7 linked regions of the Callithrix jacchus genome follow. The protein of the gene in region 6 purifies or fractionates together with the protein of the main gene of each other region. This does not show direct contact. Links are inferred from orthologs where the notes say so. Each region holds a gene or a part of one and is shown on either strand. Other genes may lie near its edges. The genes, in order: PPP1R12C, TRIOBP, GSK3B, RAI14, YLPM1, PPP1CB and PPP1R12B.

The links.
Region 1: the proteins of PPP1CB (region 6) and PPP1R12C purify together in Homo sapiens (affinity purification with mass spectrometry; 3 studies listed by BioGRID and IntAct, with this or other methods). This does not show direct contact. The link is inferred for Callithrix jacchus from reciprocal best matches to the Homo sapiens genes PPP1CB and PPP1R12C.
Region 2: the proteins of PPP1CB (region 6) and TRIOBP purify together in Homo sapiens (affinity purification with mass spectrometry; 3 studies listed by BioGRID and IntAct, with this or other methods). This does not show direct contact. The link is inferred for Callithrix jacchus from reciprocal best matches to the Homo sapiens genes PPP1CB and TRIOBP.
Region 3: the proteins of PPP1CB (region 6) and GSK3B purify together in Homo sapiens (affinity purification with mass spectrometry; 3 studies listed by BioGRID and IntAct, with this or other methods). This does not show direct contact. The link is inferred for Callithrix jacchus from reciprocal best matches to the Homo sapiens genes PPP1CB and GSK3B.
Region 4: the proteins of PPP1CB (region 6) and RAI14 purify together in Homo sapiens (affinity purification with mass spectrometry; 3 studies listed by BioGRID and IntAct, with this or other methods). This does not show direct contact. The link is inferred for Callithrix jacchus from reciprocal best matches to the Homo sapiens genes PPP1CB and RAI14.
Region 5: the proteins of PPP1CB (region 6) and YLPM1 purify together in Homo sapiens (affinity purification with mass spectrometry; 3 studies listed by BioGRID and IntAct, with this or other methods). This does not show direct contact. The link is inferred for Callithrix jacchus from reciprocal best matches to the Homo sapiens genes PPP1CB and YLPM1.
Region 7: the proteins of PPP1CB (region 6) and PPP1R12B purify together in Homo sapiens (affinity purification with mass spectrometry; 4 studies listed by BioGRID and IntAct, with this or other methods). This does not show direct contact. The link is inferred for Callithrix jacchus from reciprocal best matches to the Homo sapiens genes PPP1CB and PPP1R12B.

What each region holds. Positions count from the first base shown.
Region 1 is NC_133523.1:47,976,420-47,979,919, reverse strand, and holds part of PPP1R12C (protein phosphatase 1 regulatory subunit 12C), read left to right. Parts: intron 1-1,846; coding exon 1,847-1,977; intron 1,978-2,056; coding exon 2,057-2,175; intron 2,176-3,500. UniProt on the Homo sapiens protein: Regulates myosin phosphatase activity.
Region 2 is NC_133502.1:208,776,827-208,779,037, forward strand, and holds part of TRIOBP (TRIO and F-actin-binding protein), read left to right. Parts: intron 1-998; coding exon 999-1,085; intron 1,086-1,929; coding exon 1,930-2,091; 3' UTR 2,092-2,093; intron 2,094-2,211.
Region 3 is NC_133516.1:82,946,573-82,950,072, forward strand, and holds part of GSK3B (glycogen synthase kinase-3 beta), read left to right. Parts: intron 1-174; coding exon 175-213; intron 214-2,842; coding exon 2,843-3,029; intron 3,030-3,500. UniProt on the Homo sapiens protein: Constitutively active protein kinase that acts as a negative regulator in the hormonal control of glucose homeostasis, Wnt signaling and regulation of transcription factors and microtubules, by phosphorylating and inactivating glycogen synthase (GYS1 or GYS2), EIF2B, CTNNB1/beta-catenin, APC, AXIN1, DPYSL2/CRMP2, JUN, NFATC1/NFATC, MAPT/TAU and MACF1.
Region 4 is NC_133503.1:170,831,362-170,834,861, reverse strand, and holds part of RAI14 (ankycorbin), read left to right. Parts: intron 1-1,655; coding exon 1,656-1,762; intron 1,763-2,408; coding exon 2,409-2,587; intron 2,588-2,819; coding exon 2,820-2,848; intron 2,849-3,500. UniProt on the Homo sapiens protein: Plays a role in actin regulation at the ectoplasmic specialization, a type of cell junction specific to testis. Important for establishment of sperm polarity and normal spermatid adhesion.
Region 5 is NC_133509.1:109,711,145-109,714,644, reverse strand, and holds part of YLPM1 (YLP motif-containing protein 1), read right to left. Parts: coding exon 2,185-3,500; intron 1-2,184. UniProt on the Homo sapiens protein: Plays a role in the reduction of telomerase activity during differentiation of embryonic stem cells by binding to the core promoter of TERT and controlling its down-regulation.
Region 6 is NC_133515.1:86,290,010-86,293,973, reverse strand, and holds the start of PPP1CB (serine/threonine-protein phosphatase PP1-beta catalytic subunit), read left to right. Parts: upstream 1-1,164; 5' UTR 1,165-1,351; intron 1,352-1,464; 5' UTR 1,465-1,551; coding exon 1,552-1,603; intron 1,604-3,964. UniProt on the Homo sapiens protein: Protein phosphatase that associates with over 200 regulatory proteins to form highly specific holoenzymes which dephosphorylate hundreds of biological targets.
Region 7 is NC_133520.1:29,524,376-29,527,875, forward strand, and holds part of PPP1R12B (protein phosphatase 1 regulatory subunit 12B), read left to right. Parts: intron 1-93; coding exon 94-300; intron 301-2,786; coding exon 2,787-2,982; intron 2,983-3,070; coding exon 3,071-3,183; intron 3,184-3,500. UniProt on the Homo sapiens protein: Regulates myosin phosphatase activity. Augments Ca(2+) sensitivity of the contractile apparatus.

The sequences.
Region 1 (3,500 bases), on a different chromosome or scaffold from region 6:
TGGGTTTGGGTCAGGTCTGGGTGTGGGGTGACCAGCTTATGCTGTTTGCCCAGGACACCCTGGTTTTAGCGCTGAAACCCTCAGTCCCAGGAAAACAGGGACGGTTGGTCACTGTCTCTGGGTGACTCTTGATTGAGTCCCGGCCACTTTGTCCATCTGGGAATGTGTTTCTCGTTCTGCATCCGTCTCAGGGCAGGTCCCCAAGCACCAGCCCCCTGCTGTGGCTGTTCCTGAGTTCTCAGGGTACCCCAGGTGGGTTTATTAACCACTTGGTGAGGCTGGTACACTCACCCCATTCCTGCCCCCCAGTTGCCTTAGTGGCTAGGGGGTTGGGGGCTAGAGTAGGAGGGGCTGGGTACAGGATCCTTAGGGCTCAACAGAGAAGAGCTGGGGGCCTGGGCTTCTGGGTCTGAGGGGAGAGGTACTGGGCCTAGACTCCTGGGTCTGAGGGATGAGGGACTAGGGCCTGGACTCCTGGGTCTCAGGGAGGAGGGGCTGGGCCTGGACCCCTGGGTCGGAATGCGGAGGGGCTGTAGACCTGGACTCCTGCATCTGAGGACAGAAGAGCTGGGGGCCTGGGCTTCTAGGTCTGAGGGAGGAGCGGCTGGGGCCTAGACTCCTGGGTCTGAGGGAAGAGGGGCTGGGCCTGGACCCCTGGGTCTGAATGAGGAGGGGCTGTAGACCTGGACTCCTGCATCTGAGGGCAGAAGGGCTGGGGCCTGGACTTCTGGGTTGAATGGAGGAGGGACTGGGCCTGGATTCCTGAGTCCCTGGTGCCCAGGCCTCAGGCATCTTTCACAAGGATGCCTGCGCTGGGCAGGTCCTTGAAAGGGAAAGGCCCATCTCTCTCCTTGCCCCCCCCATCACCATGACAACTGGGTGGAAATAAACGAGCGCAGTTCATCCCGTTCCCAGGGCACGTGCGGCCCCCCTTGCAGCCTGAGTTTCCATGACCTCATGCTCTTGGCCCTCGGAGCTCCCTCCCGCTTCTCCAGATGGGCAGCTGTGGAGAGGTGAGCGACTTGGGGGGCTAATTTGCCCCTGGATCTAGGCGTTTAGCTTCACTCCTCCTTCAGCTCCAGTTCAGGTCCCAGGGCCCACCCAGTGTCCACAAGGCCTGAGGTCAGTTCCTCTGGCCCCTGGATTTTGGCTTTTGTCTCCCCAAGTTTTTGACTCCTAGCGGAAGAATGAGCAACGATGGCGCATGTAAGCCCCTGGCTGCAGTTGCCCCGTGCAGAGTGGGCCTCAGTGACCAGGAGTGTGACTGCCTTGGGCCCTGGGCACACAGGTGTGCAGCTGCCTCACCCCTCAGGGAGTGCTGTCCAGGCCCCTGAGTCTGTCCCAGCACAGGGTGACCTTCCTGCAGAGTATCTGCTGGGGTTGTTTCTAGGCCTGACCCTTGGAAGGACCTGGCTAGGTCTGAGGCAGGAGGGGCTGGGGACCTGGACTCCTGGCTCTGAAGGAGGAGGGGCTGGAACTTCTTCCCTAGTCTGAGCACTGGAAGCGCCACCCTGTGGGTGGTGACGGGGCTTTTGCTGTGTCTAACAAGTACCATGTGGGATTCCCACACCCGGATGAGAAGCCCCAACCCTTCCCGTTCACTTTCTGTTTGCATGTAGCCAGGAGTCCTTTTGTGGTTTCCACTGAGCGCTGAAGGCCTGGCTGACCTGACCACTGGGCAGCCAGGGTGTCTGAAACAGCTGGTGGCTAGAGGCTGCTGGGTCATTTTCCCCACTGTCACTAGCACCGTGTCCCTGGGTCTGTTTTTGTGGCTCCTCTGGAGCCCTGCCTTGCTGGGACGATGTGGCTGGGGGAGGTGTGGCTGACGGCTGTTTCCCACCCCCAGGCCTGCATTGATGAGAACCTGGAGGTGGTGCGCTTCTTGGTGGAGCAGGGCGCCACTGTGAACCAGGCAGACAACGAGGGCTGGACGCCCCTGCACGTGGCCGCCTCCTGTGGCTACCTAGACATCGCCAGGTGAGGCAAGGGAGGGCCAGGCAGGACCTGGTCAGGGTGGGGACCTGGACCCTCAGCCCTGACTGACCCCCACCCCCAGGTACCTCCTGAGCCATGGGGCCAACATCGCCGCCGTCAACAGTGACGGGGACCTGCCCCTGGACCTAGCCGAGTCGGACGCCATGGAGGGGCTGCTGAAGGCGGAGATCGCCCACCGAGGTGGGCTCTGGTGTGCTTCGTGTGGGGTGGGGGCCCCTCCTCACCTGTGGCCTCCAGGCTGAGAATTTTAGAGGCTGTCTGGGCTCCAAGGCTGACCCTGCTTCCCAGGAGTCTTTGTCTCTCTCTGAGCCTCAGTTTCCTCACCTATGAAATGGGGGCATAGGGACCTGCCTCCAGTATTGTTTGGAGCCCATTGGAGGCACAGGATGAGAACTCAAGCTGCTACCAACTGGAAGTATTATTGGACTCCCTGAGTAACTGAGGGAATTGAAATGCCGGGGTGGGGGTGGGGGGCAGGTGGGCTGGGGGGACTCGCCCGAAGTGCGTTAGGTGGGATTGCTGGGACCCTGCGGCAGGTCTTTCTGGGAAGGGATGTATTTACTTCGGGGGGAGTAGAGGCATGCAGGGGCTGCCAGGGGCTGGTCTCCCTGTCCTTTGAGACTGGTACCCTGGGAGCCTTCATATGGGGTCCAAGAGCCCCTGAATCTGCCTGGCCAGTTCATTTCTCCAGGGAAGGGGTGTTGCTTCTGGCAGGTGTGTGATGATCACTGAGGATCCCTGGGTCCCCAGTGTGGCTTCTAAAGTCCAACTTTCTGAGCTTGCCTCCCAGCTCTGCCAGTGACTGGCTGACTCCAGGCATGTCCCTGAAGCTCGCTTCCCTTAGTTCCTGAAACAGGACTACAGGCACCGCCTCCTGGGGTGGTTGTCAGGGTCTGGTTGGGTGTCAGTGGAAAGGTGTGAGCTTAGTGCTGGCAGGCTCCAGACCCTTTAGAAGGAAAGGGAGAGTGATGAAGATACCAGCAGGCTTTCACGTCTCTGACGTGGTGTCCCAGGGTCGCTGGCCAGGCTGAAAAAGGATAGGGTTCCATGTGGGTTCGGGATCACGAGAGCCACATGGGAGAAGTAGCTATGGGACACATGGAGGCGGAGATCTGAAGTTTGGGAGCCTTTCTTTCGTTAAAATGGGGAGTGGTTGAAATCAACTCTGGAGCTGGATTCTCTCCTCCCTCCCCAAACTTTTTGTTTCATATTTACAGAAAAGTTGAAACAGTAGCCTATGAGTACCCATGTGACTTACACTGAGACTTGCCAGTTTCTTTTTTTTTAGATAGCTTTTTGAGATGTAATTCACATACCCTGCAATTCACCCAAAGTGCGCACTTCAGGGTTTTTAGTATATTCACACGTTCACCACATTGACTACAGAACATTCTCATCATCCCCTCAGATGTCACCCCGCCCTCAGACAGCCCTCTCTGCCCTTTGTCTCTGTAGGTTTGCTGTTTTGTACACTTCACATAAAGGGAATCATACAGTATAGAATC
Region 2 (2,211 bases), on a different chromosome or scaffold from region 6:
TCCCTTACTGGGGTAAGAAAATATGTGTGTGTGATCCGAGGATCACTCTAGTATTTTATTTTATTTTAGACAGTGTCTCACTCGCTCACCCAGGCTGAAGTGCAGTGGCACAATCTCGGCTCACTGAAATTTCTGCCTCCCCGGCTCAAGTGATTCTCCTGCCTCAGCCTCCCCAGTAGCTGAGATTACAAGCTCTCACCACCACACCCAGCTAATTTTTTATACGTTTGGTAGAGATGGGGTTTCACTATGTTGGCCAGGCTGGTCTTGAACTCCTGTGATCTGCCCGCCTCAGCCTCCCAAAATGCTGGGATCATAGGCATGAGCCACCACACCTAGCCTTAGTATTTTATTTCTTAACACCTAGGTGAGGTTCACCCTCTGCCTAGAATTTAAGTCCTTTTGGTCTGTTAACTTACCTAATCTTCCTGACAGCTGCATACGTTAGCTACTGTTACTGTCCGCATTTACAGATGAGGAGACAGACACAGGGAGAGCACGTACCTTACCAAAGCTTGCACAGCTGGCCTGGGACTTGAACCAGGCAGTCTGGCTCCAGTCTGAGCCTTTTAAGCCTCCCCAGTCCTGGCTGAACTTGTTTCTTCCATGGTCAAGTCAGCAGCACCTGGCCCTCAGGGTTGGGGAGGGGTTAGTGAGGTGGCCTGTGGGGTGACCCAGCCGCCCAGGTTTATGTAGGGCTTCTTTTCATCTTCCTTAACCCAGAGGTGAGAGCCTGGTGCTGCATGAGGGCTGCAGCAGAGTTGACTGTGAGATAGCCACTCACACAGGCTGGACAGGGGTGAGAGTAGAGGAAGCGGAAGCAGGGGAACCAAAGAGGACTTCCTGGAGGAATCTGACTCCAGCATGTCAAGGGTTTTGGTGCAGATAGGGGCTGCATTCTAGGGGCCTGAGGCAGAGAGAAGGCAGGCTGCAGGGCGCTGTGGGCCAGGGTAGCTCTGCCTTCTGGCCCTGGGTCAGCCTGGCACCTATATCCCCAGGTGCTGCTTCGAGTAAAAGAGAACGAACTCCAGTACCTGAAGAAGGAGGTGCAGTGCCTCCGGGACGAGCTCCAGATGATGCAGAAGGTAGGCCCTGCCACTGGGCGTGGGGGTCGCGGGGGCCTCTGGAGCCACCTGGGTGCCATCCTGTGAATACCTGCTCTGTGCCAAGCCCTCCACTTGCCTCATCCTTCCTCAGGCTCTCCTGTGCCTCTCCCATGTAGGTGTCGTCATCCCCATTCACTGACAGGGAAACTGAGGCTAAGAATGGGGAAGTGACTTGCCGAAGGCCATACTTGCTTCTATTTATTTAGCATTATTTAATTTATTGGTGATTAGTGAGCACGTACTATGTCCCAGACACTGCGCTGGGTGCTGGGAAGACAGATGGGAACAAAATAGCCCAGATCTCTGCTGTGTGGACCTTGCACTCAAGGGAGAATAGCCACATTGCTAGGAGTTGGGCGTGTCGGGGTTCAGCCCAGGTGTGAGTCTGTCACCCACCTGGCCCACCCTTAGCTGCTGTGTCCCTGCCTGGTGCTGTCAGTTTGGGGCGGGAAGTGGACTCTTTAAGCATATTTGAGCCAGAACGAGTTTACCGTGCTTGAAGAACAGGTGGTGTGAACTCACGGGAAGGGCCCGAGCACCCGGCCAGGCTGACCTGGTTCTCATCCCAACCACTCACTGCCCTTCAGTCTTGGGCAAAATCTCCTCCTAAACAGGAGGAGGATGCCAATTACGCCTGTGTCCCTGGGTGGTACCAGGGAGGTGGGAGGGGTAAGACCAAGAACAGGGCCACCTAGGGGAGCCACCTGGATGGTTGAAGCAAGGGGGCTACAGGGAGGTCTGGCTGCTGGTGCTGCCCAAGTGCCAGGTGGGCAGGGATGGAGGGAGAGGCTTCGTCCCCTCATACCTGCCTCCTGCCATGCAGGACAAGCGCTTCACCTCGGGAAAGTACCAGGACGTCTACGTGGAGCTGAGCCACATCAAGACGCGGTCGGAACGGGAGATCGAGCAGCTGAAGGAGCACCTGCGCCTTGCCATGGCCGCCCTGCAGGAAAAGGAGGCCATGCGTAACAGCCTGGCTGAGTAGAGGTGGGTGCCGAGGCGTGCACCCTGCAGGCTGGGCCGGGGCTAAGGCTCTCCCACACCTGGGACTCCCTGGGCCACCCCAGCCAGGGCATTTCCTTCCTCTGGCCTCCAATTCCCGTTC
Region 3 (3,500 bases), on a different chromosome or scaffold from region 6:
TGGACTTGCTACTGTGGAGACTGATGTTTAAAGTTTATAACTGTATAAACATTTTCTATGTCCCCCCCACACCATGGATTTCTTATAACATTGGATATATTTTTCCTTGCTGGACTATTCTCTTTTGGATTGACTTCCCCTGTTTGGATTATTTCACTGCATTATCATCTTTAGGATTCGTCAGGAACAGGACATTTCACCTCAGGAGTACGGGTATGTACTTAATTTTTTTTTTTTTCCCAAAATTTCAGGGCAGGTCTATAAAACTTGGGGGAAACCTTTTTTGAAAGGCTAAACAATTATTCATTCTTGAAATGTAATAGTAAACGATGTAAGTAGCTGCGATTTCTGTTTTTATTCACTGTATGGCATAGGTTTTGCTTATAATATATTTAGATTGTCAGTCTCTTGGGTGATTCATAGACATCTAGGCTGAAGTTTGGGAATTGTGGGGGTTTAAAATTATTATTTCTATTGCAAGAATAAATATTGATGAAGATCCATGAAACCAAAGGTCTGTGTGTTAAGCAATGTCAATGAGTAAGGAAAGAAGTGACAGCAGAAGCTTCTTTAATTAAAAGACACATTTCAGTTCTTGGTGGTTTCCTTTTCTTTAGAAGCAGAAATAATTCAGATGAGCTAGTTTCTAGTTTTCCCTATAATTTTTAGAAGTTGTGTGCTAACTCACACTGTATTATGGTCAGAAATCTGAACTGTGGGAGATACTGGGTTTTGGCCCCACTTAATTTTCCACTTAACCTTTATTCACTGAGTACTGAACCAAGGCTTTTCTCATCAAGAATCTCTTAAGGGTTTAAAATAACAATGTATACTTTTTGCAAAGGCAGGTTAAATCTTGATTTTTATGTAGGCTCTTGGAATGTATTATTTTCTTTATAGTTTTTAACTCTTGAACTTCATGAGTTAAGATTCCCTGACAAATATATGCTAATAAATATTTTAGTACCAATATGGATGATCACTTGTAGCCAGTAAAACACCAAAATATATGGGTGACTTAAAAAAATATTGAAAATAAGCTTATAATACTGGTTTATTAATAGCTTTAACACAAAATCTTGGAAAATATAACATGAAAATTTTTTATTTAAAATAACTCACCATCCATCTATCCTACATTTGAAAGTTAGCGGGAGATACTTATTTCTTCCTTTGGTGCTACTTTTAATTCCACTTATGTGCTGCCATATTGGTGCAAAAACATTTTGGATTAGCTAGCAAAATAAATCTATATACCATCAAACAGAAGCAAACTTGCCCTCAGGGATAAAATATACCAATAATGTTTAATATTTTTATGAAAATTTTCTGGGTTCTCCCACTGATTATTTTCTTTTTACATTCTGTATTTGATTATGGACTTTGGGAGCAAGAGAGGGGACAAGAACAGTGGAAGAGCTAAACATTTCAATAACTCAAAGGTTTTCTTGACTGAGGCAAGTCAGAGTATTCAAAAGAATAAAGATAAGGCAGGTTTTGACCTTATAAAAAGGTTTTCTTTTTCACATATCCAAGAAATTGACTAAGACCTTAATGTTCTGAAATAAATTTCTAAGAGCCTACTTTACGTAATTTCTCAATTTTCATGGAAAATGTCTTTTTCAATAATAAACTAAAATAAAATCTTTTCACTGTAGACAATACTTATAGTCTCTGGAAAGTCTAATGAGCTCTGTGGTTGTAACTAGTTCTACTGACTGTCAGCATAAGTGAACAACCAGATGTTACATTAACCAATCTTACTAGAAAATCTTAGTCTCCCAGGCTGCTTCATGCCCTGTCACAATATGAATGGGCTTTTCTGACTTATAGGTCCATTTCCCTCCGTTTATACATGTCTACTTGTCTGTCCACCTCCATCATCACACCTTTTATTTGGTTGTGTGTTCTTCCTATCAAGGGATATATGTCTCATTTTTCTTTAGTTCAAAAGTTCCTCATCTGTTTATTTCTATTCCTTCCCTTTTTATTTTTATTTTGTAGCTGGTCATAATTTAGAATTAAGTATATTTCTATAGTTTTTTTATTGATTAGTTTTATTTTATTTAAGACACAAATGAGTAGAAAGCTATCTACTCCTTTAAGTAGATTAATTTAATTGAACTTTCCTTCAATATAGCCTTCAGTTGACTTTTTCCATGTCTCAATCATTCTTAATGGATAATATATTTTTCTCTCCTTGATTAAAACCTTGGAATATTTATTCAAATGAGGGAAATCTGGCCACATCGATGGTAATAGCTACTTGAGAAAAAAATATAGGACATTTTATCAAATTCTAGTTTTTCAAGAATTTCTTCAAATAATGATAGGCTCTGTTTATTGGAGATAATCAAATCAGTAGCATTTGTAGACCTAGAGTAAATAGCTCTTCTTTCTTTTAAGATATTGATTGCCAGATTTTTCAACAATGCTGCCCATCATTGACAGTTGTTCTGCTAAAAAAAAAAAAATGCAAAAGAGGCAAACTTTTATTTACTGCCATAGCAGTGAAAACTTTAAAATTTTAAAAATGTTTTTCTAGTTGTGCTTGCCTCCAGAATGTAGCCTTTCCCATGTGCCTGTCATATTTTGTATGCATGTCTGATTGTATTGCTTTATGGTTAGCATATATAGATTTTTTTCTCCGAGCATTTCTCATATAGTCTTAATCAGCAGTTCACCACTGTGAAGCATATGCACTTAACTCTTTCCATTCTAGAAGGTCTTTTCCCAAATGCAACCATGTTTCTGTACATGGTAGGAATTAAGTCATTACTCACAGGGTACTTGCCTAGATTCATATAACATTAATTATTCTTTCCCTTTTTTTGTACTGCAGGTCTTCCGACCTCGAACTCCACCAGAGGCGATTGCACTGTGTAGCCGTCTGCTGGAGTATACACCAACTGCCCGATTGACACCACTGGAAGCTTGTGCACATTCATTTTTTGATGAATTACGGGACCCAAATGTCAAACTACCAAATGGGCGAGACACACCTGCACTCTTCAACTTCACCACTCAAGGTAACTCCAAATACTTAGCTCTTTCACCATTTCTAGGAAAGCTACACACTGGGTGTGAAATGACATTCCATTAATTAAAATATGTGGAGGACAAAAATGGACATATTAAGTACTTATGAAGGTGAAAAGATTATTCTTTCTGATTTGCTGGCCACTACTTACATGGTTTTGAACAAAAGACTAGCACATAAAGAAGCTATGCCTATTGGAAAACTTTTAATTTTTAGCAGAATATAATGTTGGCACATGAGAAGTTACAGAGAATTCAGTGAGTGAAGTTTATCACTAATTGGATTGATGTACAATTTCATCTTTAAGTTTGGATCTGAAACTTAAAATAGTAGCATTTCTTGCTTCCGTAGAGTTTGGATCAATTTTTTAAACCTGGAAATGAATTGGTGGCTGTATTTGTATAAATTCAGTTGTCTTCCAAACAGGAGGAAAACTAGAATCCTATAAACCCTTTCTAAG
Region 4 (3,500 bases), on a different chromosome or scaffold from region 6:
ACTGGTTTCTAAAGCATTAGAAGAACATTTTGAAGCATGTATTTCCTAAATAGGTATCCTCAGGAGCAGTGGCTGCTGAGGATTCAGACACTGTATCCCAGAACAGTGTCTGGGTATGGTCTGGGTATCCTTCCAGTGTGACCAAGAGCAAATCCTGCCTACCCTATTCCCAGCTACAGCCAAGTGCTCTCGGTGTTCACCTCGACACACATCCATCTCAAGAGGAACATTTATACCAAGGAATCAGAGCTGGAAGGGTGTGGTGAGCCCAGCCCACCAGGTCCTGACTTTGCAGTAATAACCTTTCTGGCAGAATGACTTTACAACTTAACCAGGAAACCCAAGAGCTCCTCAGATAGGCTCTTCAACAGCCCAAAGTATCATTCTCAGATAGGGGCACCCAGGGTAAGGGTATTAGCCAAAGATCCCAGGATGGGCAGCTAGCCCATGTTTAAATACAGGTCTCCAATGCATGGATGTCACGGCATGTGTTCTACAACCCCCAGAGTCCATGCAAGGTGCCTTGTAGAAACCTTTGGTCAGCCTCATTTCTGCTAAAACAGCCATCTTCAAGACAGCCCCTGAAGAGACCAACTCAGGTCCTGCCCTGCTGTCCTTTGCTGAAGATGAGGAACAGGCTCTTGGGCTAAGGTTCAGGGTAGAGCACAAGGGACCAGAGAAGCTCCTGGAGTTGGCTGGGTGAGAGGGCTCTCCATTTGCTGCTTGTAGTAGCCTGCCTGCTAACTGATTTCTTCTCCCTAGTTGCAGCCCTGCCCTGGTCTGATGCCCCAACTCTGCCTTTGTTGTTCCCTCCCACCTCCCTATTAAATGTTGTGTACAGAAGAGCCCTTGTGAATTGTGAATTGTTGTTAAAAAAAAAAAAAAAAAAAAAAAAACGTAAAGGATACTTCTCTTTACGTTTTGTGTTATTTGTGTCAGGCCTAAGATTACAGAAAATACGTATATATATTCTTCTAGTAGTTTTCATCATTTGTTTTATATTGTAATGTTTAAAAGTTTAATCCACCTGACATGGTTTGCATATGAGTTGGAGACCTAGATTTCCTTCTTCCTAAAGGCATTGCAATTGTCATGACATATTATTCTTTCTATGCATCTCTTTATCTAGTCATGTGTTAGTAATAGACATAGGCTCTTAATTTATGTTATGTTTTTATACCTAGCAAGATTACTAAAAAGTATACTTTCTGGTTAAGAGTGGAATGGCAGGATATATAATCATTAGTGCATGGGGAAGAAGCTGCCTATAGGGCAGTGGGATCTTCTGATGTCGTGCAGAGATTCGTCCTTCCTTTCTCCAGCATTATCCCTCAGTACACATGGTACACTTGCCTTTAGCCTTTACACACTTTGTGTTCTACCCTCTCTCACAATCACCCAAACAGTGATAGCCACGGGAACAAGCAGCCCAAGAAGCTAGAGCTGCTATGGAAAAGCTAGCATTCAGTGAAATTCCCTAAGAAGAGTTGTACTGACATACACATGTGGCTCTATAGGGACACAATATCAAGATGGACCAGATATTAGATCAGCAGTCTAAGTCAGGAAAAGCATGCGCAAAGAACAGGGGCTGACTTTTGCAATTCTGGCATTTTGTGCCTGAGTTAAAATCTAAATCTGAATTTGTCTCCTAGGATGGGAATATACCGCTGCTTCTTGCTGTACAAAATGGTCACAGTGAGATCTGTCACTTTCTCCTGGATCATGGAGCAGATGTCAATTCCAGGAACAAAAGTGGAAGGTACCCCAGAATTAGGCAGAAATCATGTGACTTCAGTGATATCCACATTCTGAGAGTATTTCAAAATATCACAGCTATATTTTGGATCATTTGTTATAAAGGGGTTTAAACTCCTTACCTTTTTAAAGTTCTACTGTTTTTGATCATCAAGAATCTATGTTGACCTAAAAGCAATTTTCCCCAGACATCTGTGGACATCATTGCTGGCTAAGTCTGTGAGGAGACTATTATATGCTAACATGAATAAGCAATTTCCTGTGACTTTCTATGCAAAATGAAATAAACCGATTGGTTGGTTTGGAGAAATGGTCTTAGCAGCGTATATGTTATTTAAAGTGCTTGAGATGAAAAAGGATAAGATTCATGCCAGTCATATTAAATCCCATCATATTATGCCAAATAGTATAGAAGATTATGTTGTTTGACTAAATATGGTTTAATGTTTTGATTTAATCTGAAGTTTTAAAAATAATGCCTAATTTCATCTTGATAGCATTCCACTTCAAATTCCCCAAAGATTAAGTGTAATAAAGGTTTAACTGCACTTAATCTTCTTTCTCTCTCTCTTTTTTTAAGACAACTGATTTCCCAGGAAAGAGTTTGCACATTTCGTTAGTACTAATTTTGTGTCTCCCTTTTCCTTTAGAACTGCTCTCATGTTGGCCTGTGAGATTGGCAGCTCTAACATTGTGGAAGCCTTAATTAAAAAGGGTGCAGACCTAACCCTTGTAGATTCTCTTGGACACAATGCCTTACATTATTCCAGACTCTCAGAACATGCAGGAATTCAAAGCCTTCTATTATCAAAAATCTCTCAGGATGCTGGTATGTGAAAGAAAATAGCCAATGTTGTTTTAAATTTATCTACTCCATTTTCCCCAAAGGATAAAGGAATGTGTGCAATATGATATATTTTGTTATTTTTAAAACACATTTTTGAAGAAAAATTGAGTCTTAAAAACTATTGTGTATGGTGGTGTGTGTGTATCCCCCTACCCAAAGTGAATATGAATCATTATGGTTCTTATAGTTATTTTTTTCACTTTTTCCTCTTTAGATTTAAAGACCTCAACAAAACCAAAGCAGGTATTTATCTTTGGGGGAGGCTTTTTGTTTCATTTATGCTTGTGGGAATTCTGAAGTTCAGATTTAACCACTGTGTTCAGATTTAACCACTCTGTGGTCCAATAGTAAAATAATAAAGACTGTATTGAAAATACTTAAGGACTGAAATATCTTTGAAATAAATGATTCACTGTTAAAGGTGGTAAAGGTTTTCTTAATAATTTGCTTTATTTCAAAAGCATGTAACGTTAAACTTGCTACTTATATGTTCATCTTTTTCTGAAATATACTAACTCATACTTCCTATTGGTGTGAACATGTTTGATGTGGCTTAAACTCTGCGAATGAATAACAGTGTTTGAAGTACCTGTAATATCACATGAGCTACAGACCTGCAATCCAGAAAACGTTAGCTATTTAATGGTAATAAGAGAATTTAGCTTCTTCTTTTAATTAGGGTTTTTCTAGAATGTCATATAGTGTTACAGAAAGTAGAAATTGAATTTGCCCTGTTACTGTTTGGTTTTTTTTTTTTTTTTTTTTTTTCTAAAAATACGTTGTCACTGTTTTTTGACGAACAGTGTATGTTTGGTTGTTCTATTTATTTACACATCTAGGTTCTTGAAGAAATTACAAACAGCAAATACTCTAATACTGAATATATGTGCTAACT
Region 5 (3,500 bases), on a different chromosome or scaffold from region 6:
CTCAAAAAAAAAATGTGGCTTTCAAAAAAAAAAAAAAAAAAAAAATGTGGCTTTCACATCAGTTTTTAAAATTTGAATTAGCTATTTACAAAGCAAAATATTTCACATATAAATTCAAACCTTAAAGAGATTTGGTAACACCAGTCCTACATTCCCACATGCCAACAATCAGCCGAGTGCAGCAAGGCTGCCCATGTTAGATGAAACAACGTGTCACAATCTTCACCATACTCTAGAAAGTTTGGCCCACTTTCACTCATTTTTGTTATCTGATTGTTGGGGACATTTTAATTTATGGCCCCTGCTGTAGATGGTGAAAACAACTGTCAGTCTATATCTTTAAAAACAACACTTCATCTTCCTGAAGATAATTATGTAGTCCTTCAGTTTTTCTTTAAATTTCTGATTAAATTCCTTTTACTTTTCTTCATAATGTCCACCTTAAACATGGGTAAAATCCACTACAACTTCTTAAGACCTCTTACAATTTTCTCTTCACAGTAAAGTAAGTGACCCAAATGAACCCAAAAGGTCAAGTATGTAAGACTATTTTCTGCTCAGGTAAATCACATCCCTTATGATACTCCTTATAACTTTACACTGACATAACATAACCTACTTGTCTTCAATTATAACCACATTATCTATCACTCCATATATATTATTTAATTATGTTCATGTTGCCCAGAAAGCTTTAAAAAAGGATGAAACAGCAGCAGCACCTTTTACCCAGCATTGCCATGCAAAGCAATAATGAATTAAAAAGAAATTTCGAAAGGAAAAAGAAAGAAACCTTGGCAGCTTAACAACACCAATCAGCTTGGTATTCTCCATAAACAACACAGATTTTAGAGTTGGACAGATTGAGTTTAAACGCTGGGTCTGACACTTACTAGCCAAGAGAACTTAACCTCTCTGAGCCTTAGTGTCACTTGTGAAGTGGGGATAATACTATCTTATCTTTGCAGGCCTTTGAGATAGAAGAATTTGAGATAGACAGACTAGCATAATATACACTCAATTATCAGCAAGTGCCCAGTTACATGGTAGGTGTTAAATTAAAGGTGTCCACAACTTAAAAGTGAATAGTGTGGTAGCTATACACTCTATAGCATGCTTTCTACATTTTCCTCATGAGTAACCTGGAAAAAATAAACCTTTTAGCTATAGACCACAGAAACCTGCCGTATCTGATCTTTCATCATTACTGTTTCTTCACCACATTTTTCTTTCCTAGTTCTAAAGTTTAAGTTATAATTTATTGGTAAGATCCACAAATATAAACCAGAATTGAAAAATGGAAGAAATATATTGGAATCTATCAAAACCTAATCATTAATTGATTTTTCTAAAAAAATTTGCTTTAAAAAAGCTTGCAATCTGTCACTGACTTCTAAATTCCTATCCCAAGATATAGCTGGTTTAAAGATTAAATGAGTTATAATACACAACACACTTAGGACAGTTCCTGGCCCAGAGTAAGCATGCAATAAATGTTAGCTTTTGTTATTATTGTTACTGTAACAGGAAAATTACGTAGATACCGATACACAGTAGATTGTAAGTCAAAATATCCTATTTTCCATTTCACAAAGAAAATATTTGGCTACATAGAAACAAGTACCATCATCAAGGAGAAATATCTGCTTTTAGTTATAATGAAAGACAAAACATCCCAAAAAAGAAAGTATCAGTAGTTAGACAAATCTGAGGATGCTTCTAAGCAAACCATTCTTAGCTTCAACAAAGAAAAATACAAAAAAATACAGCACTTCCCAAAGTTTTTTCAATGATCAGTGAATATAAAGTCTATCAGATCTAATACCAAAGAACAAATTGCTTACTGGAAAAAATGAAGGTTACACATGAGCCCTGTGAAATCCAGAGCACTGAAAAGTTGAAGTTTGACACCTACAACATGCGGCATGGCATGCCAGCAACACATCTACAAAAGCCAAGACAGCAATTAATTTTCACATTTTAGGGCATATGTTTATAATTAACACAGTTCTTAAATACTCATCCTAACCCTAAAAACAGCACTGAATGACCAGAAATATAAATTAAAAGTATGTGTTAAGAAGTTGAAGTAAAATGATTACATTCAAATATATCATATCATTTAAAAAGAGCAGTCTGAATGTGGTTTTTACTAAAAGAAATGATCTGAAGGAGTCAACTTACCGAAGCATTTTCAGTTCTTGTGCAGCTTTCAAAATGATTTCGTGCTGCCTCTGACTGAGAACCATTACCCCTCCAAGGCCTTGGTCAGAGTCTAAGCTTGCATCGGACCCCATCATTTCTGAGGAATGATGTGAGGAGGGCATATGTTCCGCCATGGGGGAATGTCTATCCACATCAGATGGGTACCATCTGTCTGACAACCGTTCTCTTTCCCAGTCCATTCTGTCAGGAACATAATCTCGCTTTTCCCGCCATGTATCTCCTCTTTCTGGATACTCTCGAATCCTCAACTCACCCCTATCACGGAAATCTCGATCATACCCATGGTCTCGATTTCTTTCTTCTCTCCATCTATCATCCCGATATCTATCCAAAGGTGGAAGAGGTGGGAGGGGCGGTAAAGGTGGAAGAGATGGAATATCCCGTTCACGAAACTGTGATTCTTGTTCATCCAGTGGTCTCCCATAATCTCTGTCCCACTCATTATCCAAATTTCTATCATACATATCCATGGGTCTTCCAATCCGATCCACATCCCTGTCCATGTCCCTGTCCATTTCCCTATTGTAGTCCTCATCCATATCCTGGTCTCTCTCCCAATCATCCCACCAAGGGCCTCGCCTGTCTCCATCATGAGATCGAGATGGTGGTGCTGAGAACCTGTCCTCTCTGTTATAGAGCTCTAGTGTATCATCTTGATAGTCATGTTCACATTCTCTCCAGTATCTCTCTCTATCCCAGTCATCAAGTCTTTCTCGTTCCATTGGAGCATTTCTACCATCTAATGGGAACTCTTCATGCCCTCGTTCTTCTCCATGATTCCATGGAGCTCTAGGAGGCTCATCTCGGTGATATGGATACATTTTTTCCCCACCATCTCCTGGGTCTGGTCTGAATGGACCTCTATCACGACCAAAATCTGATCTTCCCAGTCCCCTTTCTCGACTGCCAGGACCTCGAGGTGGTCCTCTCTCCCTGCTCCCAGCTCTTCGGGGTGGTACACTCTCTCTACTCCCGGCCCTTCGAAGAGGTCCTCTCTCCTGACTACCAGCCCTCCGAGGTGGTCCCCTTTCTCGGCTGCCAGCTCCACCCCTGTCCTGGCTGCCTTGCAGACCACCTGGCACTTTCTCCCGACTGCTTCCAGGCCTCACCAGCCCTCTGTCCCGGCTGCCTTCTCCTCTGTTCATCTTCTCTCGACTGTCTTCTCTCCTACCCATCATTTTATCCCGAAAGTCTTCTTGCTTGACCAATCCTGGGCCTCGACTGATTGCCTGGCCACGACCTCTGTTTACTAGTCCTTTATCCCGTGTGTCTTC
Region 6 (3,964 bases):
TAATCCCAGCTACTAGGGAGGCTGAGGCAGGAGAATAGCTTGAACCCAGGAGGCAGAGGTTGCAGCGAGCCGAAATTGCGCCACTGCACCGCAATCTGGGCAACAAGAGTGAAACAACGTGAGTGAAAACCACACACACACACACACACACAACCGTGCCAGAGCCCATCCAGGGATCTGAACAAATGTCAGCTACTATAAGCGATACATGAGTTGGGGAGGCACTGCTTCGGGCTTGGGGCAACATCAGGTCTGGAAAAAAACACCTGTGGAATGAGTAAGGGCTGGCCACCTCCTAAAACAGGACAAAAGATTAGGCTTGCCTAGATCCTTAGCCTGACTGCTTCTCCTCCTGCCTTTCTAGAGGCGGTATTATGGGATGGAAACACTTGGTGGGTGCAGTGGGCATAAAGGTAAGTTAGTGTGTTTTTATCACCTAGGAGCTGAGTCGAGAGTGGGAGAAAAAAGGAAAAATAATTACCAGGTAGGATGACGATTAAGCAATATACTGGAGACAGGAACAGAAACACACCGTGGAAAAAAAAAAACCCACGGTGTGGATGGAGATTTAAGATAAGAGAAAGCGCTAGACACAGGCAGTCATCTGCACCCATGAATACTGTATTATTGCTGACTCCTCCAGGGCCCACTTTAACTCTTCCTTCAACCAGAATGCCTGCGGAACTAGCTTTGTGGAACCGCAGGGGATAAAGATCTTTATTTGCAATGTCGAACTCCAGCAGAGTAACCCTTTATTGCTTTCCACACGCGCAAAGCCGGGTTCTAAACGCTGCAGTTCGCGTTTCTCGGCTAACGAAAGAAACACGAGGAACTGCTTGCAGGTGCAGGGGATGAAGCCAAGAAAAGAAAAGCGAGGCCGAAAGGGCGCAACCACCAAGTCTGCGGAGAAACCAGGGCCGGTGGAGCAGAGAAATGGGAAGGTCAGCCCTGCCCCAGCGCGCCCAGCGTAACCCGGGTTTCCTTAGCGCTGCAAAGCCGGGGAACCTCCCGGGCGCCTGCGCCGCCGCGGCGAGACTTGGCGCCGTGGACATGGAGAGAGAGGGCGACGCACCTGCGCGAAGACGGCGACGGGAGAAGCCGCTCCAGTGCGACTGCGCGGCGGCCCGGGCGTCGAGGCAAACCTCGGCGAGGAGCGCGCCGCGCGCTTGCGCAGAGAACTGCGTTGCGCGGCGGCGGGCAAGGGCCGTGCGGAGTGAGTGGCGCTGCGGGTGGGGCCGTCGGCGGCGCTGGTGAGCTTTGCGGAGTTGGGCGGTGCCGAGGAGGAGGTGGCGGCCTGGGTCTGACGCGGCCCTGTTCGTGGGGGCCCCTCTTGTTTATTTATTTATTTTCCGTGGGTGCCTCCGACTGTGCGCGCGCTCTTGCTACCCGGCGGGGAGGGGGTGGGGGGAGGGCCCGGGAAAAGGGGGAGTTGGAGCCGGGGTCGAAACGCCGCGTGACTTGTAGGTGAGAGAACGCCGAGCCGTCGCCGAAGCCTCCGCCGCCGAGAAGCCCTTGTTCCCGCTGCCGGGAAGGAGAGTCTGTGCCGACAAGATGGCGGACGGGGAGTTGAACGTGGACAGCCTCATCACCCGGCTGCTGGAGGGTGAGTGCGCGCCGGGCCGCGACACAGAGGGAGGCTGGGCGTCGCCGCCGACCCCTAGCGTCCCCCTCCGCCGCCGAAACGCGACGGGACCCCTTTCCCGCCCCGAGACGAGTCTCTGGGAGCGCGGCGCGGCTGGCGGGGCGAGGAGGCTGCTGGACGCTGGGGAGCGGCCCCCGGGAGTGCGATCGGGGGAGAGGGGGCCGTCCCCGCGTACCCTTGGGGGCCAGGTGCGCTGGCTGGAGGCTGTGCGGAGCGGGTCTACGGAAGAGCCTTTCGGAAAGGCCGCCGGGCTCCGCGCGCCGTCGTTCTCGCCTCCGGTGACCCCTCCGAGGTGGCAGAGAGGATGCCTGCCGCCGGGCTTTGTGTCGATGGAATCCGTTTCTTCTCTGTTCTCTTTGTGCATTGCCCTTGGCTGCCTCCGTTTGTCGTTTCGGGAGTGAATTATGTGTGTGTATATATGTACCTGTCATGAGGACTGCTTCGTCTGCTCTGCATTTTTACGTGATGCTACAGAATGGATTCTTATTAAAGAGAGGATAAAATTAGCGGGAATTTTTTCCGCCATTTGTTTCTTGGCCTAAAAAAAAATTTGTAAGACAAAATATGTGATCAGGTTGAAGATGCACGTAAGACATGGGAAGTATGGAGATGCCTTTGCTGAAGGCTTCTGCGTTTGATTTGAGCAGAGCTTAATTTCTGCACAAACTTAGTGAATACCTATTTTTAAAGCCTGCCTTATGTTCAAAAGGTATCTGCAAGTCTACGCAGCATTTGAGCTTTCTGGGCCCTAGTGTTTTGATTGAATAGTTCTATGCTGGTGGGAAGGTAAGGGGGGAAAATGAAGAGGTAGACTAGCCAGGAGTTCAATGTTATTGATTCATTGCAGGATGTTATTCCAAGTTAAATGCAGTCTTCTGCCAAACAGTCCTCTACCCTAAAATTTGTGTCATCACTAATTTGTGAGTGTGTAGAAAAGCCTTTAAACCTTTTTTAGCAATTTGGAGGCCTCTGTTAGCTGCCGTCCAAGGATTGCATATGTACTGTTTGCTTTCAAATTACCTGAAGATAATTGTTTGCTACAGTGAAGCAAAATGTACTTATAATTGGAAAATCATCAAAGAAGATTGTGATGGGGAAGGGGTATTTCCTTTTTTTCAACGAATGTGTTGGTATCTAAAACACAAGTTTTTTGAGTACTGGTTGTGTAACTAGGGTATATTTGCTCCAGATGTGAAGGCCATCCAGCAGTCTTAAGACTGAAGCAAAAGTTTTACCAGGAACTCTTATTTACCTCTTCCTTTACTATCAAGTTATTCCTGGGAGGCCCCCTGGTGCCTGCAGTCAGTGTTGACTACGTAAGACTTTGTGAACAGATGTGAACATCTTGCTGGTTCTTTGAGGAAATTTGCTTTGAAAAAATTTGTATTTTCTAACTGTTCTATGAGGGAAATGCAGTTAATTTCAAAATGTGTATGTCTTATTTACATTTGGGGAAGGATAGGCCTACTTTTTTTTTTTTTTTGAGACAGAGTCTCCTTCTGTGGCCCAGGCTGGAGGGCTTTGTCGCCTAGGCTGGAGTGCAGTGGCAGGATGTTGGCTCACTGCAACCTCTGCCTCCTAGTTTCGAGCGCTTCTTCCACCTCAGCCTCCCTAGTAGCTGGGATTACAGGTACCCCACCATCATGCCCGGATAAATTTTTTTGTATTTTTGTAGAGACAGGGTTTCACCATTTTGGCCAGGCTGGTCTTGAACTCCTGACCTCTTGAGCCATGGCACCCATCCCATTTTTGTATGTTTTAAACTTTGCTTGTAAATTTAAATATTTTAAAAGTATGTTTGTATCTCAACTTCTTTATATTTTATTTAATTTTCCATATATTTTATAGGCATAAACCAGACTTGTTTTAAAATGTTTGTATCCTCTTAGGTTAGATGCACCTTTTATGATTATAGGTATTTCAGAAACTTCATGAGTGAGTTGTGCAAGGTTACTGGAAAAAAAGACACTGGGAAAAATAGCTTAAGGGATTCCGTTTGTTTTTGTGAATTCAAATTGAATAATTGGTTTTATACAATCTTTTTTCCATTTTTGGGGGGCGTAAGAATTGTAGTCCAGACACATTTCTCTCTTAATTTAGCAGGCGTTAACATGTTGACCTCCTCCTTACCAGGCACCAGGAATCCAAAGATAAGACACAATCTCTTCACTCAAGGAGCTCCCAGTATAAACAAGTGACTTTCAGGCTTTTTCAGCCTCCTCTCTGTCCTTTGCTCATCATAAGACAGAGAGTAGTATTCTATCAGTAGAGTTTCATTATTTCTACATCCTACGGAAGCATATTTAGTTTGACAGTGCCCCC
Region 7 (3,500 bases), on a different chromosome or scaffold from region 6:
CTATTTGATCTTTTGGGGAATACTCCTGCTCAATCATCAAGAGTTATTCCATGGTTAGTATGAAACAGCCCTGATCTTGTGATATTTTCCCAGGGTGTCACCCTAACAGATCTTCAAGAAGCAGAAAGGACTTTCAGCCGGTCGAGGGCAGAGAGGCAAGCTCAGGAGCAGCCTTGTGAGAAGCCCACAGACACTGAAGGGGGGCTTGAGGGGAGCCCTGAGAAGCATGAGCCCTCAGCAGTCCCAGCAACGGAAGCTGGGGAGGGCCAGCAGCCCTGGGGCAGGAGTCTGGATGAAGAGGTGAGCTCATTTTTGCTGGCATGTACTGTGATAAAAGCAGGGTAATTAGTTTGGGGAGTATCTTCTTCACTGATAGTTCAAAGGCTATGTTCTGCCTTGCAGTGGACAACTCACTCTGTATGCCTGTCTTTAGTTGGCAAACCTGTGTGACAAAACTTTGGAGGATGTCAGTCCTTAAATGATCATTTTTTTCTTCTGAGAGTTCCGTGACGCTTTTGAATAAATGTCCTCTTCTAAAAAGGGAGGTCATAGTATAACAAAATGCAAATAAAAATGTAAGCATGCATTGAGTGTTTACTTTACTCAGTACATGCTTGCTTTATGCCAGGCACTATTTTAAGTTCTTCATATGTATTAATTCATTTAATTCTCATAACAACCCTCTGAGGTAAATATTACTATTTCTATTTTATATGTGAGGAAACTGAATCACAGAGGTTAAGGACATTTAAGCCCAACATTTCACACAGTAAGACGTGGTTAAGCCAGAGTTTGAACATAGGCAGTCTGACTTGCTCTTTTAACCACTAGTGTATTGTTTTTCAAACTCTTGCAAACCTAAGGGCTTACAAAGCACTCGTGGGTGTCACTGTTGGGAGGGTCATTTTGATTTATGTTTCATTGCTCTAGTGGAGTTGGTAGTCAGAGGTTTAAGATTATATTTAGGGTGAACATAACTCCTGGTTTACTTAAGGTGGTTCCAAGTATAATTGTTGTCTTTGTGTAATTATCATTACCACTCTTTTGCACTCTCAAAAGTGTCCCAGTTTGAACTGATTAATGTTATGGTCACTGTGGTTATAGAAGAAAGGAATCTCCTTCTTGCTTTGTGACTCTGAATGGATAGATTCCATAAACTGAAGTTCTATTTTGTATTTGTTTGTTTTATAAGCTACTATTTATTGAGCACCTATTACCAGGTATTCTTCTAAGCACCTAATGCACATTTTCTTATTTAATCCTCATAATCCTCTCTGAAGAAGTTGTTATATCTTTTTATAGATGAGGATGTTAGGGCTCAGAAAAGCTAAGTATCTTATTCAAGGTCACACAGCTAGTAAATGCTGAAGCTAGAATTTGAACAAAGATTGTCGGACTCCAAATTTACTACATTTTATTGTATCTGTCTTTATAAATCACAAAAGTTTGTACAATCGCTATGCCATAAATTTAATGTATAGTAAGAATTTATCTATCTCTGAGTCTTCCATAAACCAAGTTAAGGCTTATTGTTAGGCTCTATCTGTCCTAACTCTCAGGAAAGAAACAAAAACAAAAACACTACAAAAATGAAAATGGAAACTTTAGAAAGCCTAGTTATGGCAAGCTGGTAGAGTGTTCAGAACTTGGTAGGATACTCACATTTGTTCTCTGTTCTCAGACAATTTCTACATTTTGCTGCTTCATGCTTCTGAGCTTTTTATTACCCTACATAAACCTTGCCTTTCAGCACTCTATCTTAAAAAAGGCCATCATTCTTATTTTCATTCCAAGATCAAAGGAATTTTTATTTACACGGTTAATGCTATCTAGTACCCTTTGGTCAATTTATGAATAATTTACTTGGACTACTCCCAACATGATAGGATTCTCAGAGTAGGAGTCCAGCAGCTGGTTTTTTGCTGTCTAGTTCATTTATTGAGTGCCTATTACCAGGTACTCAGTATTGATCATCATCTACTCATAAGCCTCTCAATATGAAAAAAAAAATGTTGAGAACCAGCCCAACCCCATAAGTGGGTGCCCTTAGTCCTGGCAGTGATGAGGGATTGAGAAAAGGAAATAAAGACAGAGACACAAGAGTAGAATTTACAGCATGGGTCCGGGGGACAAATGTGCTAAACTAGTACTCTGAGTTTGTCACAGATTGTTATCAGGGTGCGGCTGCATCAGCAGTATAGCAGATTAGGAGCCACACCCAGTGCAACAAGGCTTTTATCTCCTGAGCACTGAGGACATAGAGCAATTAACATCACTCCATATTAAGAGAACCTAGGCAGAGTCTGAGGTGTTCCATGATCTCTGCCCTGCAAGGCTTTTCTCCTCCTTGCCAGCTCCCATCTGCAAAGACTCTCCCCGATCTTGTGAGCACAGGTCGCCTCCCTTCTCAGAGATCTTTGCATAAGCCCTCTTTATGAGGCCCTTATACAGTGTCCATGTTGAGAAGGCATTTGTGGGACCAGAGCAGTATTCCCTGCTCTGCAACCACCCCAAGGTGTTCCCCGGTATTACTGCGCTCTTGGATGGTCTTTACCTTAGGCCTCTGTTGCCGCTTGATTTCTAATTAACTGCCCCAATAATGTAGTTTAGTTCAGTGTATAAACTTCAGTGTATTCTGAGTCAAGCAAGCTTACAGTTATTTAGCTGGAATCAACATAGGTCTCTCCCTGGCCATCTTGACCCACAAAAACATTTTGTATAAACCTGCTGTTCTTATCCTTTAGATGGACTTGACTTCTGATATCTCATGTGTGGATTATTTCTAGCCTATCTGTCGTCGCCTGAGGTGTCCAACTCAGACAGATAAACCCACCACGCCATCGTCTCCTTCTACATCAAGACCCTCACTCTACACCAGTTCCAGTTCCCACCTGCTACGGACAAGTAGATTCTCAGACCCGGATTCTGAGAGTTCAAAGACTACCACAAACACTACAACTGCAAAGGAAATGGACAAAAATGGTATGTGGAGCTTCAAAAGACACAGGCCCCTCCACAGTGCACATCCCCCATATTCTTAAAGTCCATACTTTATTTTATCTCTGGCCAGAGAATGAAGAAGCAGATTTGGATGAGCAGTCCTCTAAGAGGCTGTCCATTCGAGAGAGGAGGCGGCCCAAGGAACGGCGAAGAGGCACAGGCATCAATTTCTGGACAAATGATGTAAGTGGATTGGTCTGTGCTGAGGCATATCATACTACTCTTGGCCACCATCCTTTCAGTTGAGTTTAAAATAAAGAGTCCTGCATGGTGCCATGAATTTTGCACATTCTCGAGAAGTATTACTGAGGAAAAGAGAAGAAAGACCTAACTAGTGTGGGACTCATTTGTATGTTCCTGCTAGATTCCCAGTATCTAATACAGTGAGAAGCACATGTAAGCACATGGTGGGCACTCAGTAAATTGGCAAATAATTTAAAAACTGGAAATATACAACAGCCATATAAACCAATATAACAAGTGAATAAGCTTGTCAAGTT